Regions from separate parts of the Mus musculus genome. Here all the other regions are reported to be linked to region 3. Evidence: microRNA targets listed by miRTarBase, many of them from high-throughput screens and not tested one by one. Region 3 holds a microRNA gene; each other region holds the end of a gene's coding sequence.

The links. The annotated mature microRNA mmu-miR-3113-5p reads GUCCUGGCCCUGGUCCGGGUCC and lies in region 3 at 2,209-2,230, opposite strand. An mRNA with a match to its seed (bases 2 to 7 or 8) in the 3' UTR can be bound and repressed. Matches are read on the target gene's strand: a 7mer-m8 pairs with bases 2 to 8, a 7mer-A1 pairs with bases 2 to 7 and ends in A, and an 8mer does both.
Region 1: miRTarBase lists 2510002D24Rik as a target of mmu-miR-3113-5p. Seed matches in the 3' UTR shown: 7mer-m8 at 1,499-1,505.
Region 2: miRTarBase lists Crispld1 as a target of mmu-miR-3113-5p. Seed matches in the 3' UTR shown: 8mer at 1,134-1,141.
Region 4: the mRNA of Arl6ip1 is a reported target of mmu-miR-3113-5p. Seed matches in the 3' UTR shown: 7mer-A1 at 2,595-2,601.

Annotation. Positions count from the first base shown.
Region 1 is chr16:18,838,385-18,842,671 of GRCm38, forward strand. It overlaps 2510002D24Rik (RIKEN cDNA 2510002D24 gene), which reads left to right. Exons shown (of 3, transcript NM_001033164.2): 3 at 706-1,729. The coding sequence ends at 831. Among named protein-coding and RNA genes, the nearest start is that of 2510002D24Rik, 3.9 kb to the left of the region's middle.
Region 2 is chr1:17,763,751-17,768,037 of GRCm38, forward strand. Crispld1 (cysteine-rich secretory protein LCCL domain containing 1) reads left to right here. Exons shown (of 15, transcript NM_031402.2): 15 at 313-2,457. The coding sequence ends at 364. Among named protein-coding and RNA genes, the nearest start is that of Gm16070, 38 kb to the left of the region's middle.
Region 3 is chrX:151,857,805-151,861,804 of GRCm38, reverse strand. Mir3113 (microRNA 3113) reads right to left here and starts at 2,243; the gene lies at 2,168-2,243. It overlaps Huwe1 (HECT, UBA and WWE domain containing 1), which reads right to left. Exons shown (of 83, transcript NM_021523.4): 16 at 3,892-3,997; 17 at 1,537-1,638; 18 at 1,056-1,136.
Region 4 is chr7:118,116,941-118,121,227 of GRCm38, forward strand. Arl6ip1 (ADP-ribosylation factor-like 6 interacting protein 1) reads right to left here. Exons shown (of 6, transcript NM_019419.2): 5 at 4,221-4,287; 6 at 1,950-3,470. The coding sequence ends at 3,352. Among named protein-coding and RNA genes, the nearest start is that of Rps15a, 2.9 kb to the left of the region's middle.

The sequences.
Region 1 (4,287 bases), not on the chromosome of region 3:
GAACTTCAGATCCTTTTGGCTTTGTCTGCCAACTGTTGGGAATACTACCGCTCCCAGTTTAAGAATGTTTGTAAAGAGGCCTACATAGCACCTGACACTTTGCCAGGATCAGCCCTGTCATAATACACTGTCTAGTGTCTGTTGGCAGTGGCTGAAAGAAGCTGGCAGGATGGGGGGCACCTTTTACACATACCCTGTGCAGAGTCCAACAGTAATTTTAGACGCTCTCCCTCTCTTCCCCACCCAGTGTCCTCACTCCCAGGCTAGGCGGGTAACTAGCTCCACACTCTCCAGGTCTGCTGTTGCTGAGGCTTAGCGGGTTTTGCATGGCTGAAGGCAGAGACTGAACATAGTTGTGCATGCTTATAATTGCGGCACTCGGGAGGTGGAGACAACAATCTCAGAATTGAAGGTCATACATAGTGATCTTGAGACCAGCCTGGGCTACTTGAGACCCTGTCTAAAACATGTCCAAAGAACACAAAATAAAACTGCTGAAGTAAGATGACCGGTGTGTGCTAAAACAGAACAGTTGCCAAGGAGTGTGGTATAGAAGCAGCTGAGCCTGTGTGTACCATGTGCTCCCATGTGTTCCTCTCTTCAGAAGAGTGTTGAGGAAGAGGGTGATATAGGTGCCATGCAGCAGTACTAAGAGCCCTAGGATCCAGTGGTGAAACAGTAAGTGACCAAGTCTCATTTGTACAGCGATCCCTCTGTGAGAGCGAGCAGGTTCGGGTCCAGGCTGCTCAGAAGCACACCTTGGTATGGGCCTTGAGGCAAAGGCCCCCTACGGACTGGAACCTCCCTCTACCACAGGAGAAGGACAAGTGATAAGCAACTGCAACCCTACCCTTGACCTAGACTTTGACTGGCTCTTACTTGACCTGGAACACAGAGCAAAGCATTTCCAGCCCTAATTGCCTGCTGCCCACTGGATCTGGGCATTTCATCACTGTAATACTCTGAAAGACACCTGTGTGCACATGCTGGAAGCCAAGCACTGAGGCAGGTGTCTGTGAGCACTCAGGTGGGTCCATTCTGTCCATGCCATCTCCCCTGAGAACATCAACACCAGATGTGGCAGCCGAGAGTTGTGAAAATCTCAAGTACACAGTGGCAGCCCCAACCTGTGTGGATCCAGGGCACAGTAGTTAGAATAAGGTTGCTAGACTACCTTATTTTGATTATGAATGACCCTCCTTGGCCATGAGAGATGGACTGCAATGTCTTGTCTAGTGATTATCGTGGTATGCAAGTGCGGAGCTCATGCTTGCTCAGCTTCCCTGGAGACACGGAAGAGCATGCTCAGTGGGTAGGCAACTTGTCCTCTGCACCAGCACCTTTTACTGGTTTTGCAGACTTTGAAAGAAAGAGAGAGAGAGAGAGAGAGAGAGAGAGAGAGAGAGAGAGAACTGGGTGGTGGTGGCCCACGCCTTTAATCCCAGCACTCGGGAGACAGAGGCAGGCCAGCCTGGTCTACAGAGTGAGTTCCAGGACAGCCAGGAGCTACACAGAGAAACCCTGTCTCGAGAAAAAAAAAAAAAAAAAAAAACAACAACAAAAAAAAGAAAGACAGACAGACAGACAGCATTGCAGGAACCAAGGAGTCTGGAATCAAGACATCCAAGTCCCAAGGCACAGACAGAGCTCAGGTCCAAGGACTATGGGGTTTAGGTCTCCTGATTTCTCCTCATTGTTAATGTATTTTTTTAAAAAAGCTGCTTCACATGTTTGATTCCAAAAGCAACCTGAAAATTAAAGCCATGTGACACTTTATACCTGTCTCAATTAGGGTTTCTATTGCTGCTTTGAAACACCATGACCAAAAGCAAGCTGGGGAGGAAAGGATTTAATTTATTCAGATTATATTTCCACATTGTATTCCAAAATCAAGATAGAGACTCAAACAAGGCAGAAACCAGAGGCAGGAGGTAATACAGAGGCTCTGGAGGGGTGCTGTTTCCTGGCTTGCTCCTCAAGGATTGCTCAGCCTGCTTTCTTACAGAACTCAGGACCACCAGTCCAGTGATAGCACCACCCACCAAGGGTGGGACCCTCCCCATCAATTACTAATTAAGAAAATGCCCTACAGGGGCTGGTGAGATGGCTCAGTGGGTAAGAGCACCCGACTGCTCTTCTGAAGGTCCAGAGTTCAAATCCCAGCAACCACATGGTGGCTCACAACCATCCTAATGAGATCTGACTTCCTCTTATGGAGTGTCTGAAGACAGCTACAGTGTACTTACATATAATAAATAAATAAATCTTTAAAAAAAAAAAAAAAAAAAGAAAATGCCCTACAGCTGGAATTTATAGCAGCAGCATTCTCAACTAAGGTTCCCTCCTTTCAGATAACCTAGCTCAGTGGTTGTCAACCTTCCTAAGGCTGTGACCCTTTTATACAGTTCCTCATGTTGTAGTAATGCCCAAACCATAAAATTATTTTCATTGCTACTTCATAACTGTAATTTTGCTACTGTTATAAATCAGAATGTGGGCTGGTGAGATGGCTCAGCGGTTAAGAAGAGCACTGACTGCTCTTCCAGAGGTCCTGAGTTCAATTCCCAGCAACCACATGGTGGCTCACAACCATCTGTAATGAGATCTGACAACCTTTTCTGGTGTGTCTGAAGACAGCTACAGTGTACTTTTATATAATAAACAAACAAACAAACAAATATTTAAAAACAAAACCAAACAAACAAAAACCACCATGACCAGCTACAGTGTACTTACATATAATTAATTAATTAATTAATTAATTAATTAAATCGGAATGTAAATCTCTGATATGCAGGATACCTGATATACAACCCCTGTGAAAGGGTTGTTCAACCCCTAAAGATGTCGAGACCCACAGGTTAAGAACCATTGCTACCTTGTGTCAAGTGGACATACAGCTATATAACCAACAATGCTATATGCTATATACTCAGATTATTATTTTGTTCTCTTATAGTGTTTTAAATATATACTTAAATATACACATGTGTGGCTGCATGCATACACAAAAATATATGCATGAACATAAGTCCACACATGTGTGCACATTTGTGAGCATGCACACATGCATATACTATACTCATGAACACACATGCACACACACACATGTGCACACAAACATGCACTCATGCATGTGCACATGAATGAGTATGCACAATACACCCATGTATACAACATACACACGTGTGTACTCATATAGCTGAATAAGCAGTCACATACATACACATGCATACATGAATGCATACACTCAAACACACTTACAAAAGTGCATACATTCAGAAGATGGCCTAATTGGCCATCATTGGGAAGAGAAGCCCCTTAGTCTTGCAAACTTTATATGCCTCAGTACAGGGGAACGCCAGGGCCAAGAAGTGGGAGTGGGTGGGTTAGGGAGTAAGAGGGGAGGGTATGGGGGACTTTTGGGATAGCATTTAAAATGTAAATGAAGAAAATACCTAATTTTTTAAAAGTGCATACATTCATACAAGCACACATACACAGACGTGCATGTACATACACATAGACACATACATACACACACAAGAACACTAGGTCTCATAGAGGTTTCTTTATTTTTTTAATGTTTTAGAGATTTATTTCTTTTTTTTTTCCATTTTTTATTAGGTATTTAACTCATTTACATTTCCAATGCTATACCAAAAGTCCCCCATATCCACCCACCCCCACTCCCCTGCCCACCCACTCCCCCTTTTTGGCCCTGGTATTCCCCTGTACTGGGGCATATAAAGTTTGCAAGTCCGGGCTGGTGAGATGGCTCAGTGGGTAAGAGCACCCGACTGCTCTTCCGAAGGTCAGGAGTTCAAATCCCAGCAACCACATGGTGGCTCACAACCATCCGATCACGAGATCTGACTCCCTCTTCTGGAGTGTCTGAAGACAGCTACAGTGTACTTATATATAATAAATAAATAACTCTTTAAAAAAAAAAAAAAAAAAGTTTGCAAGTCCAATGGGCCTCTCTTTCCAGTGATGGCCGACTAGGCCATCTTTTGATATATATGCAGCTAGAGTCAAGAGCTCCGGGGTACTGGTTAGCTCATAATGTTGTTCCACCTATAGGGTTGCAGATCCCTTTAGCTCCTTGGCTACTTTCTCTAGCTCCTCCATTGGGAGCCCTATGATCCATCCATTAGCTGACTGTGAGCATCCACTTCTGTGTTTGCTGGGCCCCGGCATAGTCTCACAAGAGACAGCTACATCTGCGTCCTTTCAATAAAATCTTGCTAGTGTATGCAATGGTGTCAGCGTTTGGATGCTGATTAT
Region 2 (4,287 bases), not on the chromosome of region 3:
GCTGCCTAACTCCACTGTATTAGAACTTACGGGGCAATTCATAATAACATGCCCCCAATGCTGTGAAACTGTGGAGTGTCTACTGTCCTTCGTGAGCTTCTCAATTTACTTTAGTAATGTTCAGTCCAGCCACTACCTAGACGATTATGTCATCCTTACCAGAGCTTCCCCAGAACAGTAAATGATGGTAGTCTGAGACAGTTGGTCCATCTGACTTCATGGAGCTCCTTGCTTCAATGTCCTCACAGAGCAAGATGTATTGGAAGGATTATATGTACAGATGACCTTGATGTCCCTTTTGTGTTCTTGCAGTTTACAGAACCCTACAGGAGGAAAGGCATTCCGTGTATTCGCTGTTGTTTGACCGGGAACACTTGGAAGGGTAACAGAAAGCCTGCTCCAAATGCCACATTTCTGATGTCTGTATACAACTGTAACATTGCTGTACAGAAGAGAAAACGTATTGCCAGCCCACCATGAGACTACAAATGCGGGCCACTCTTGATAGACAAAGTCTATAAAATAAAATATTAGCTTTGGGGAAATTAATGAACATTAATGGTTTTAGAAATCCTGTGTTAAATATTGCTATATTTTCTTAGCAGTTATTTCTACAGTTAATTACATAGTCATGATGTTCTACATTTCTTATATTATATGGTGCTTTGTATATGCCACTGATGAAGTATATCTAAAGTGACTGTGAATGGCCCTTAGAGAATTATCTGTGCATTGAAAAGCAATCAGCCTGAAAACTAAATGAAACTTTTAAGTCACTTTTGTTTTTCAAACCAGTCCAGTATTCAGTTCTGACCTATTTTAAATCTCTATCTGCCTTACCCTTAGGACTGGGCAGTTTTTTCTCTTGTGTTAAGTTTCATTGTGCAGAATATTAAGTCCTGATGTGGCACTTGTTATTTTGTATTAAAATAGTCTTTTAATTTCCAAGTGAGAATATTTGGTTCCTTGGGAGGGGCCACACTGGCATGTGGGGAAAGCCCAAGCAGTGTGATGGAATCATGTAGTAACTAGAGGGGGAGATGGCAGTCAGAGCTTGCTGACAGAGTTGTTATTTGAACTGAGTTCACTTTTTTCATCTTTTTTCATTTGTATCCTGGCAGGTACTTCTGCAGGCCAGGAAGTATAATTAAAGAGAGAGAGAGAGAGAGAGAGAGAGAGAGAGAGAGAGAGAGAGAGAGAGAGACTAACGAACTGGTGCATTATATTATTATTACCACTGGTTTTCATAATGGTAAACAGCTTTATGTATAAACCTTTCATTAGTGTGATCCTATGGTAGTGATGCATTTGTTTCTGTGAAAATATATGTGCTTTGATACTTAAATTCTGTAAAATGTTAGGGTATTTTTTATTCCTGCTGGTGAATTTTTCCATAAGAATATTAAAAGTAATAAGTTTCAAAAAGATTATTTTTACTTTTACATGCATGGTTTGACTTGGAATCATTCTAAAAAAAAAAAAACAGAGTTGATTTTATTTATCTAAATTGACTTACTGACATCAATATAAATAAGTGGTTCCTAGTAGAAATGCACAATTTCTACCTAATCATGCAGAGATTTGCTTTTTGGAAAAATAGTCATTTATTTAGAAACATTATAACAAGAGAAATGTTGAATAAGAGGAGTGCTATGAATTTAATAAAAAAGAAATGAAGTATCAGACAACAAGGTAATGATTATAATTATGGAAGAGCTGAGTAGAAAATAACTACTTCAAATATTTTTATATGAGTAGGGATATAGAAGCCAATACAATGGAGATAATTTGAATGCAGGGATCAGGGAAAGGAACTGGGTAATACAAAAGAAAAATGAAAAGCAGAGTGTCAGAAGTAATTTCAGAAAAGTAGTTTAAGAATAAGGCAAAATTGCCTGGTCATTTCTTGAGGATTAGCAGACAGTTAAATTGCTCAAAGGGAAATCAAGAGTTTTAAAACATAGTGTTCTAGAATTATTTTTTCCCAAAATACACATTATCAATTTTCTCCATACTGGGTATTTTCACTTTATAGAGAACTAGATTTCATAGGACATTTTATACAAGTGTTTAATCGTAACTTTCCTGCATGTGTGTGCGTGGTTGCATGTGTCTTTCATCCTCTGTGTTCTGGGAACTCTTCTTCCTGGAGAATTTCCATCCCTTTTGCCAGGCTAAGGTTCTGTAGACTGCTCTCTAGTTCAGTTTATAGAGACTGAGACATTTTTGAGGGGGAAGAGATGGAAGGGAGGGGATTGAGGGTGGTTGGTATATACAGCGTATGTGTGAAAATAAAAGTGTAGTATGATGTGGTAAAAGACAATATTGGGCACGCAATATACCATATCTTAGTTTTTGTTATTCTCATTTTTATTTTCATTTTCCATGAAAAAACTGTTCACCTCGCATATTATAGTGCTTCTGTTGGTGAACATATTAAAAACTGATCATTTTCAAAAGATGACTTTCTCTATCCCTTATTCATCATCCTTAGTTCGTCTAAGTTCATTCTTTGAAGGATGCCTCACCAAATATGAAATCTTGCAGAAATTTCCCTACAGTTCTTTTGATATGAATTAAATACTGTCTATTATAAAACCCTTTAATTTGTCTATATTATTATAAATTGTCTTCATATTATGTACAGTTTTTAAAAGTCTAATGTTTTTCTTTTTCTTGGCTGCCCAAGTGTCAGCTGTGGGGTCAGTTCTATCAAAGCAGGGATACTATTCTTGTAAGGCTCAGGACACACTGTGCAAGAGGAAGTAGGAAGTATTGAGCTGGAAGATAGAGTACAGAGATAGGAAACGGTTTTCCAGACTTCTCCAACCAATGCAATGGTCAGCTCATGAAAATTGTACTTACCTACAGGGGCCCACACAAAAATGACTTATCAAAAATCAGTCGAGGAAGGAGACACCCACATGAATCTCCACATCTCCCTCTTCTTAGCTAGGTTGCTGTTAATGAAAGCAAAAGCAGCTTAAGAAGGAAAGGATTTCTTTGGCTTATGGGTTGTTGAAGAAAGCCATTACAAGAACCTGAAGTAGAGACCATTGAGGTGAGCTGATTACTAGTAGCTATTACCACACATAACGAACTGGATTCTCCCACATCTATTGTGCACTAAGAAAGTGTCCCACAGAATTGTACGCAAGCAAATTGAATGAAGGTAATTCCTCAACTGAGATTCTCTTTTCCCAGGTGACTCATGTTTGTATCAAATTTAAAACAAATGAAGCAGCACAGCTCTGAGCCAGTGCACACAGGTGAATTCTAAAAGAAAGGGACTCCCCTGCTTTTAGTTTTGTATCTACTGCTGAGTCCACTAAGGTGTGGTAGCTGCAAACCATTTGTTATATTAATCTCAATGGGTTGAGAAACAAGATAAATAGACTTGAACTTGGGATTTTTTGAGGGAGACAAGATGTAAAGGAGGGGATTGAGAGCGGTTGGTATATACAGCTTATGTGAGGAAAAAAAAAGTGTAATTCAGAATCTTTTTAAAAAGAATGAACGATATGAGAATGGTAGATTCTGAGAATGTAGGATCTACCCGACCTAGGAATCCATTTTCTCTGCCACACAGTACAATTATATGACTGATTTTTATTCAGATCAAAATTGCTTTGTATAAGTGAATGAATGAACACTAGTGGTTGAATGAACACAGTTGAATGAACACTAGTGGTTCCTCATTTTTTTTGTGATGACAACATAATAGAAGCTACTAACGTGCCAGCTGCTCTGTATTTAGATTCTTTTTCAAAGGCCAATGTTTATAGAATAGTATTCATATCACTAGTGGACCTTGAAAACCTGAGTAGACCTTATGTTACTTACTGTAGTTTTCCATCCATTGAAATAATCAGTGTATTTTAAACAAAAACAAATTGCTATTCTAATTTTTAGCTAGTTTGCATATGCCAATGGCCATTTTTTCTCTTAATGTTTTATTCTATGAGAATGTCATATATGTTCACAATTCATTTTGGTCATAGCTATCCATCAATCCCTCCCTCCGACTCCCCTGAGGAAACTTTTCCCAACACAGCTCCTTCTCAGTTTCATATCTCTGTTTTATAAAACCAACTAAATTCAGTTAGCACTTCCTATATATGAAGAGGTATGAGGTGATGGGTATGGGCAGTCTACTAATCCTCCCAGCACCAAGAAGAGTAACTTTCCCTCCCTTAATAGCCATCACCTGAGAAAATGGGTTTTTAAATTGAAAAATTAAGTCCCATCCATGCTGAGACTTTTGACTGTCTTGTACTCATGTTGTTC
Region 3 (4,000 bases):
ACCAACACTAACAAGCCTTTTTAAAAAAAACTATATTTCTACCATACTAACCTTCTGGTGTGTCTGAAGACAACTACAGTGTACTTACATATAATAAATAAATAAATCTTTAAAAAAAAAAAGAAATGTCAAATTCCTTATTTGTTGAGTTTCAGTGTGTAGTTACTACAGATCACTGTAACCTTGCCACATACTTCCTCGTTAACTTTCCATTTATGAGTATTATTCCCAGATACTTAACTAAAAGCATGTGCAACATCCTTTGTTAAGGCTATTTTTAACTGTCTGTCTGCTATGATACAAATTTTCCCAGTAGGAACTCTTTCAATCTACCTTAGGCTGATTTTCCTTTGTCACAACTCCAACTCCTTTACAGGACCTGACCTGTACTCATATTTAGTAACTGGAATATCATAGATCCAACTACAAAGTATACCTGCTTCATGAAGTTTCACTAAAAAAAGGAAATACTGGGTCATATTGCCATCCTTGGAGTAAATGGAAACATTTTGGTTCATTAACAGGGAAAACCAAACTAGTAAATTCTGCAAGATCACAAGATAGAAATACAGATTCATAAACTGTTTCATTAGCAAAAAGGTAAAGTCATAATAAATACAAATCTCTAGACTGCCCATAATGTATTTGTACAATGTACACTCCACTATGTTCAAAGAAATTGCAATTTCTACATCTCCCCCTAAATTGCTTTATAGAATTTTAAATGGAGTTCCAACTTGCATTTGTGATGCCAAAGTGCGTAGTGGGATAAAACAATGGGCTTTGTAGCATTTACCAGGAAGTGGGAGTAGGTGGGTTGGAAAGCAGGGTCCAGGGTAGGGAGTGGTATAAAGGACTTTTGGGATAGCATTTGAGTTGTAAATGAAAAAATATCTCATAAAAAAAGAAATTAAAAAAAAGTTCTAAAAGCTTGCGTGCACACACATGCAGCAAGCTGGCATTGAACTCAAGAGAACTGACTGCCTTTTGCCTCCAGGTACTTTATAAATGTATGCCAGAACATTCAACCTAGCCCGAACTTCAATTCTACTCACCTAGGAGGAAGAGTGATGGACCATAGTATTCTGCATTGCTGATGATGTGTTTCAGAGAGGTAGGTAAAGAACCATCCATCACTAAAAGAAATATGAACAAAGACCACATATGATAAGTCTGGGTGAGGCACGAAGATCAAGGGTGATGGGTAGCAATATGTTATACTGTAGTAAATAAATGATCAAGTCTATGGCCTCTGTTTCATATAACGCCTTAGTTTATTCATGCAGTTAGCTTGAATAGAGGGTCAAAATAAGAACAGACATGGAGACTATGAGAGGTGGCAGTAGGATAGAAGAGATCAGAATCCAAAGCTGGGAAGTGGAGTTGTGTAAGTAACCCTCATGTCTAAGAAACATATTAAGTAACAAAAAGCTATCAGTTTACTAAGTATGCTTTAGAAAAACATCAAGAAAACATGAAAAAGAACAATCTGGATAACCAAGTGGTCTTAGAAAACAGTATACAGAATCAAAATACCATGTCGTATGCCATCTGAGAAAGCAGGGTCTTGAATGGCCTTCTTGAGGAAATTCAACATGGACTTGAGAAGTGCTGCTCGTTGTGGAATACACTGAACTCCTAACATGGGAGAAAGAAAAAAGTATCATATTGTGCTCATTATTAAATCACAGTGAAGAGGCACACAAAACATGTACTAAGAGACCCGTCTATATCCACTAAAGCAAAACTAGCAGACATTTAAAGTGAGATCTCTGGACATGAGAGAGAGTATTCTGAAAGCTGAAATTAAATCACCAAAGATAGCATATGACCGGTATTAAAATCAGACAGACAGAGGAACAAAAAGAAAAAGATAAAAACAGAAATACTGTAGAGTAAAAAGATTCAACTTCAAACTTCACTTTTGGATATTATCTGCCCTCCGAAATGTCTGTTTTGATACTGTGTGAACTAACAGAAGACCATAAAATGTTGCAAGACATGTTCTTATAAGATTATCCTCAAATGTACCAATAAGTGCCGTGTAATGTTCTCTTCTTCACTAGTTTAATAAGTCAGTCACTGTAAAAGACTGTGTATCTATGTGTCTACGCACCAGGACGGGGTCCAGGGCCAGGACCAGGGCCAGGGCCGGGGCCAGGGCCAGGGCCAGGGCCAGGACCAGGACCAGGGCCAGGACCAGGGCCAGGACCCGGACCAGGGCCAGGACCCGGGCCAGGGCCAGAGATGCTAGTGCTGCTGTTGGAACTTGATGCCCTTAATTCAACATCCAGCCGGTGCTCCATAGATATGGACGAGCCTGGACTGCTTTCCATAGTTACATCTGCAACTAAAGTACAAGTTATGATAAAGAAACTAATTAGAATAAAAGGTACTAAGAAAAGAAAGATTTCTGAGAAAACTTCGTCCACTGAGTGAGATGTAAAACATGCAACTTTGTATGTTACTGCTAAGAGGGAGGTAGTAAGTCAAGACTACTAACAGAGGTTAATTAACAAATATAAAAAGCACTGATGTTCATAGGGAAGGATGGCTATGATACATAGAATGAACAATAAAAGCAGAATGTGTTTGTGCTCTCCTCTCTCTCTGTTCTAAAAACTATATACTTGTAGATGTGAAAATGAAAAGGAAATAAAGTTGTATTGAGTCACATCAAATTAACAGCTAATGGCAGAGGGTTAAGACTGAGCATTAACATTTACTTTTAGATTTGAAAAGCAAATATTTACTATCTACAATGTTTCAGTTATGTAAACTTTAAAGGGGATCTTATTAATTTTATAAATGTAACATTTTAAAGTTATTTTAATGCATGCACCTACTTACACAAGTAGTAAGGACGAACAGCTGTGTAACTTTCTTTGTATTGAGTATGTAATTTCTTTGAGAATTCAATGCAATCGTTTGGATTAGTTTTAAATACTTGTTTCCTGGTCTTCAGTTGCAAATTTACTGAATCAAGCATTTCAGATGGCGCCAGAATCTACCAAGCACTTATTGTTCTGCTTATTAAATTCTGACAATTGCTGATTTACAATGGATAGTCAACAATTATTTATCAGCAGTTAATAAACACATTTTATTCAACACTTGGAATCTCACCTGTGAACTTAAATGTCAGCTTGTTCCCAATAAAACAGAAACAGAAACTGAGCAAAAGGATTTCTGTGGACTGCAACATGCACAGATAATGGTGCCCAAAAACAAAGTCAGAAAAAGGAACAACATACTATTTACTATTAACAAAACGGCGCGTTACATTTGTAGTACTTTTATCATAAACATAGTAAGATACACAATAATAATCTCTGTCATTAAGACTATTGCAAATTATAAGAAATCTGCTTGGGGCAGTATTTTTTATTCTATTATGAATTTTTATTCTATTAGGAAAGAGATGAAAGTGTTAAAAAAAACCCATATAACACACATGAAAACTAAAATGATCTGGTTTTGCAATTGTAATTTTGTCACTTAAAAGATCCCTAAACAATAACCAATTAAAATCTCTGATCTTAAGATAGTTTTCCAAGGTCTCATTTATGAGTTTATAGTCTCCAGGTAATTTATCAGGTAAAAAAAAAAAAAAAAAGACAGTATTTTGACTACACGGTGCTTATTAGGTTTTAGTAGTGTAAATAAGATAATAAACTAAAAAAATGTGTAGAGTGACTTTAGTGGTCTACTGTAGCTTTACCTCCCAGGTCTATCCCTAACAATTTATATATCATTTATATAAAAAGTGTTGAAAGATATACCTGGAAACCTGTGTGCCTTTTAATTTATGAGTAAGAATTAGAATTTGGATAGGATAATAGAAAAATCACATACATGGAAATATCATTGGCTTAATAACTTGTTAATTACCATCCATATCAGTTTCCATTTCTTCTCCTTCTTGAGTGGTACTGGGTCTCTGGATCTTTGGCTTGATCACGAAAGGGCATTCTTTACGACACAAATCTACTTCGTGCTA
Region 4 (4,287 bases), not on the chromosome of region 3:
CACTCCTCCTCCTCCTCCTCCTCCTCCTCCTCCTCCTCCTCCTCCTCCTCCTCCTCCTCCTCCTATTATGCAGCCCTGTGATCTGTCTGCCTCACTTCTGTAACTGGGGTTACACCTCAAGTGAATCTGTTGACTCCTAGCCTGGACCATTAAGCTTCAAGCCTACAGAGGTTCGGGAAGCTTCGTTCATTGCTGTTCACACTAAGTCTGGAGAAGCATCTGCCACATAGTAGGTCCTCGACATATAGTTGAAGAAAAAACTGAATGGACAAATCAGTTTCTCCATCTCTAAAACAGGGATGATAGAACCACTCAGAGGAGCTTTTGAGAGACCACACAAATGTGGCAGTGCTCAGCAGTGTTTGGCACAAGATTTATTTCCCCCAGAGGAACAAAGGACAGGGAATGAGAGACAAAGACAGGAGATAGAAGGTGAGGGAGAGGGGAACAAGGGAGAGGGAGGGAAAGGATGTAAGTCCTGGGAACAAAGAACTGCCTCTGCATAGAGAGGAGACAGGTGTGGCCCTTGAGCAAACGACAGTTTATGAGGGTAAAGGGGGAAAAAACCTCTTGTTAGGATGAAGTGTCTAACTCTGGTTAGACACGTTAATTAGGGTAGCTGCAAGGGGACTTTTGGTTGCTGGACCTCCATCCTTTGAAAGCTGGACCTTGGTAGTCAGCCTCAGAAGGAAGTGAGCAAATAAGTGACCAAATAAGAGAGCTTTAGGAATGTAACCTAATAGTTTTTAGAAAAGAGGAAGGGAGAAGAAAAAGGCCCGCCAGAACCATCTTTGTCATGCTCTGGCCGCCAGAGTCCCCTTCATCTTCTCTCACAACAGGGGAAGTCTTCATTCCCAGTCATAATTCACCCCACAAAAGGACCACAGGCTTTCCCAAGGTTTATAAGGATTTTGAGCACAGGTCTATTTCAGACTGACCTCAAACTCACATCCAGTCTCCCAATTTCCTTAACATGGACCCAATAGGAATGACTTCAGGAATTCAGATCAAAGCAGCAGTGGGGAGGGGTGGTAGTTAATGAATCTGAGATCCTAGTTAGTTCTGTGGGGATTTGGCTAGCTGATCCCAGTGTTGTGACCTTGGTGTGCCACAGAATCTAGATGGCCCCAGGCTGATGAGCTCCTAGAGGGGGTGTGTGTATGTGTGTGCACTTGTATAGAAATTGGGAAATTTGGGGTGGCTGGGCTGGAGGGAAGTGGAAAAAAAAGAACCCAGTAAAAACTGACTCACGTTTGTGATTTGTTAGAGGCAAATTAGAACTAATCAAAGATGAGCTGCTGGCATTTAACTACACCTTACAGACACTTAAAAACTAGGTTGGGTGAAGTGACACATGACTGTTTGAGGTGAAGGCAGAAGGGCCAGGAGTCCAAGGCCTACCCAGGCTTTCTGTGAGCCTGTCTAGAAGTACCAAAGGCCCAGACCTACAGGGCACAGATCCTAATGTCTGTCTCCATGTGAGCCTGAATGTGAGAGAACCTCAGGAGGGCACTCAGACACAGCTGACCTGAGCAATTACCACAATGAGAGAACAGAGTTTTCTTTTGTGATTTTAAACTTTTGAAGTCTTCCCATGAAGTCAGGGCTGGCCGCAAGAGATTACAAGTCAGCAATTTCAAAGCCATAGGATTTGTGACTTTACTTGAACTTGCAGAAAGGGAAGTATGCTTAAGGGTGGATGGAGCCTGTTCCCAATGAGACCGCAAGTTATGACACCCAAATTTTAAAAGGCAGACAAATGATTATCAACTACTGATGATTATCAACCACCTGCTTTGGGAGCTTAAGTACACGATCTTTTGAGTCTCCACTGTCTCCTCCTCTTCAGTGTTCTCCCTTTCCATCTGACATGGGTACCTTAGAGAAGAGCTCCAATGACAACAGGTGGTCACTAGTTAGATTCATAAACTCAGAGTTAACAAAGAAAGTGAGACAAAAGGGTTCCAACTGGTTTTTAATTTTTCCCCTTTACCACAAAACAAAGAAGAAATGATTAAAACTGCCAAAGTAGTTAACTCGTAGAACATGTATTAGTCACACACACACAAATTCCAGGTAGGAAGGCAGGCTTATTTACAAGAAAACATGTAAAATCAAAGTGGGAGTCATGAAACATTAAAAAACAAACACACATGCTACAAGAGGCACCGCTGCTTACAGTGCTAGGGAGGTGAGAGAACAGATACACACAGGGGCAGGCTTCACAGCATCAGTGCATGGATCCACAAACTATGTTACAGCTAGTTCATGGGTTAAGGAGTTGTTCCCAAATGTCCTATTTTGGCCCTCAGAGGTTCAGTTCTGCAGATTTCAACTGCTCTAAAAGCCCCCTACTGAGAGGGCACGTGATCACAGTAAGCTTAAAGAGTTGCAAAAGCTAGGCAGACCAGAGTCACCAATCAGCAGTCTGCTCTCAGCTGCAGCCCTGCATTTTTCTGAGAAATGTCAAGGGGAAAGTCAAACAGCAGTAAACACTTGTCTCTCAAGTGCAAAGCTGGAGGCACTGAAATACAGCCAATACTACGAAAACAAGTGAGATTTTCCAGGCTTACTCTTAAGCCTCTTTTTTTTTTTTCCTGGTCTTAAATATTAATAGATAATCTAGTTTTCTACTCATTGAACAAAGGATACTTTTATCCCTGGCTGCCCTTACAGGAAAGTCACAAACATTTTAAGTCAGCTGACAATCTGAAACAAAGAAACTGCTACAATCCTCAAATATAATCTTCTGAAAGCTTGCTGCTCAAAGGCCATTATGGACTAGAACTAACCTGAAGCAGTGCAAAGGGAATGAGAGGTCAGTCAAAGCCTGCCAGTCCTCACAGGAACAAAGGGGCAATGCTCCCTCAAACTGTTGCATTTCCTATGAGCGAGGAACTTACACACACTAGGGTGTGGAATTAATTTTTTATCTTATTCCATGGGTATTCTCCCACAGTGGAAACTCAGGAATGAATTTTAAGTGGTCTCCTCAGCAGAAGTGGTAAACCCAATCTCTGTACTCACAAAGACAGTTTGTTAAGCAGACAGTAGAACCAGCTTCCTGTAGCCACAGACCACTGCCTTGAATATAGCTAAAGCAAACATCAACAAAGTCACAGTTCACTGTACAAAACAGTAAAGTTCACCACTTAGCATCTTAAAGGAAGGAAGTTGTCAAAATGAAAGGAAGTCACACTGACGGGGAATGTACCCAGCTACACCTGGCACTAGAGCCCGCACAGAGCCTGGCCTGTGAGAATTTCTATTAACAAGGGCAGAGTGAGGGAAGCAACGAGCCACTGTAACACTTCAGTGCCCAGGGCCAGGGCACACTCCGCGGCAGCCACACTACTCATTTTTCTTTTCTTTTTGCTTGAGAAGTTTGTTTATCTCCCTTTTGGCCATTCCAATGTACTTCAGAATGATCCCATGTTGGTTTAGTCCAGGAAGCAACAGCACAAATGTCACTAGAAATGAAAAAAAAAAAAATGAAGTTGAGGAGACAATATTTAACTCTCTGAAGATGACTACAGTTGAATGTGGGTGGACTGTGGAGAAGTGACACAAAAGCCATCCAACAGGATTCAGCCCAAAACTGCAGCCAAGGTGCCTCCTGAAGGTGCACTCACGCTCACACTACAGTGCCTTCTATCTCACTCCTCTTTGCTCACGACCTACCTGGCTTTAATGAACTCCAGGAAAACAGAGACCAGTCTTTTTAAAAAAGATTTGTATTTTATGTGTATACACAAGTGCTTTGTCTAGAAGCATATATGTGGAATATATGTGTGCCCAGTGCCCACAAAATCCAGCAGAGGCTATCAGATGCCCTGAGACTAGAGTCATAGGTTGCTGTGAGCCAGGAATTGAACCAAGCATGTTTTTAGCCATGGAGCTCTATCTTAAGCCCTGACTTGAATCTCTAGCTGGGCTGGTTTTGAACCCGACCTGTAGCATATAGAAAGGGATGACCTTGAACTTCTACTCCTTCTGCATCTAGGGCTGGAATGACAGCTTTATCCAGTACTGGGCATCAAACCCAGGCCTTGGTGACACAGGGCACAATCTGAGCTGTGACCCAGCACAGACTGGAACCTTTCCTTCTCACCTTGCCCCACTCCCATAGGTCCTGTGAAAACTCAATCTATTTACTGACTACACACCACAGTCAGACTTCCCTGCTAAGTTGAACATGTGATGTTTCTTCAACGACTTACCAATCAGGTAGGTGAGAAGCAGGTTGTGAACTTGCTGTCCCACCCAAGCCACCGCAGCAAGAGAAAT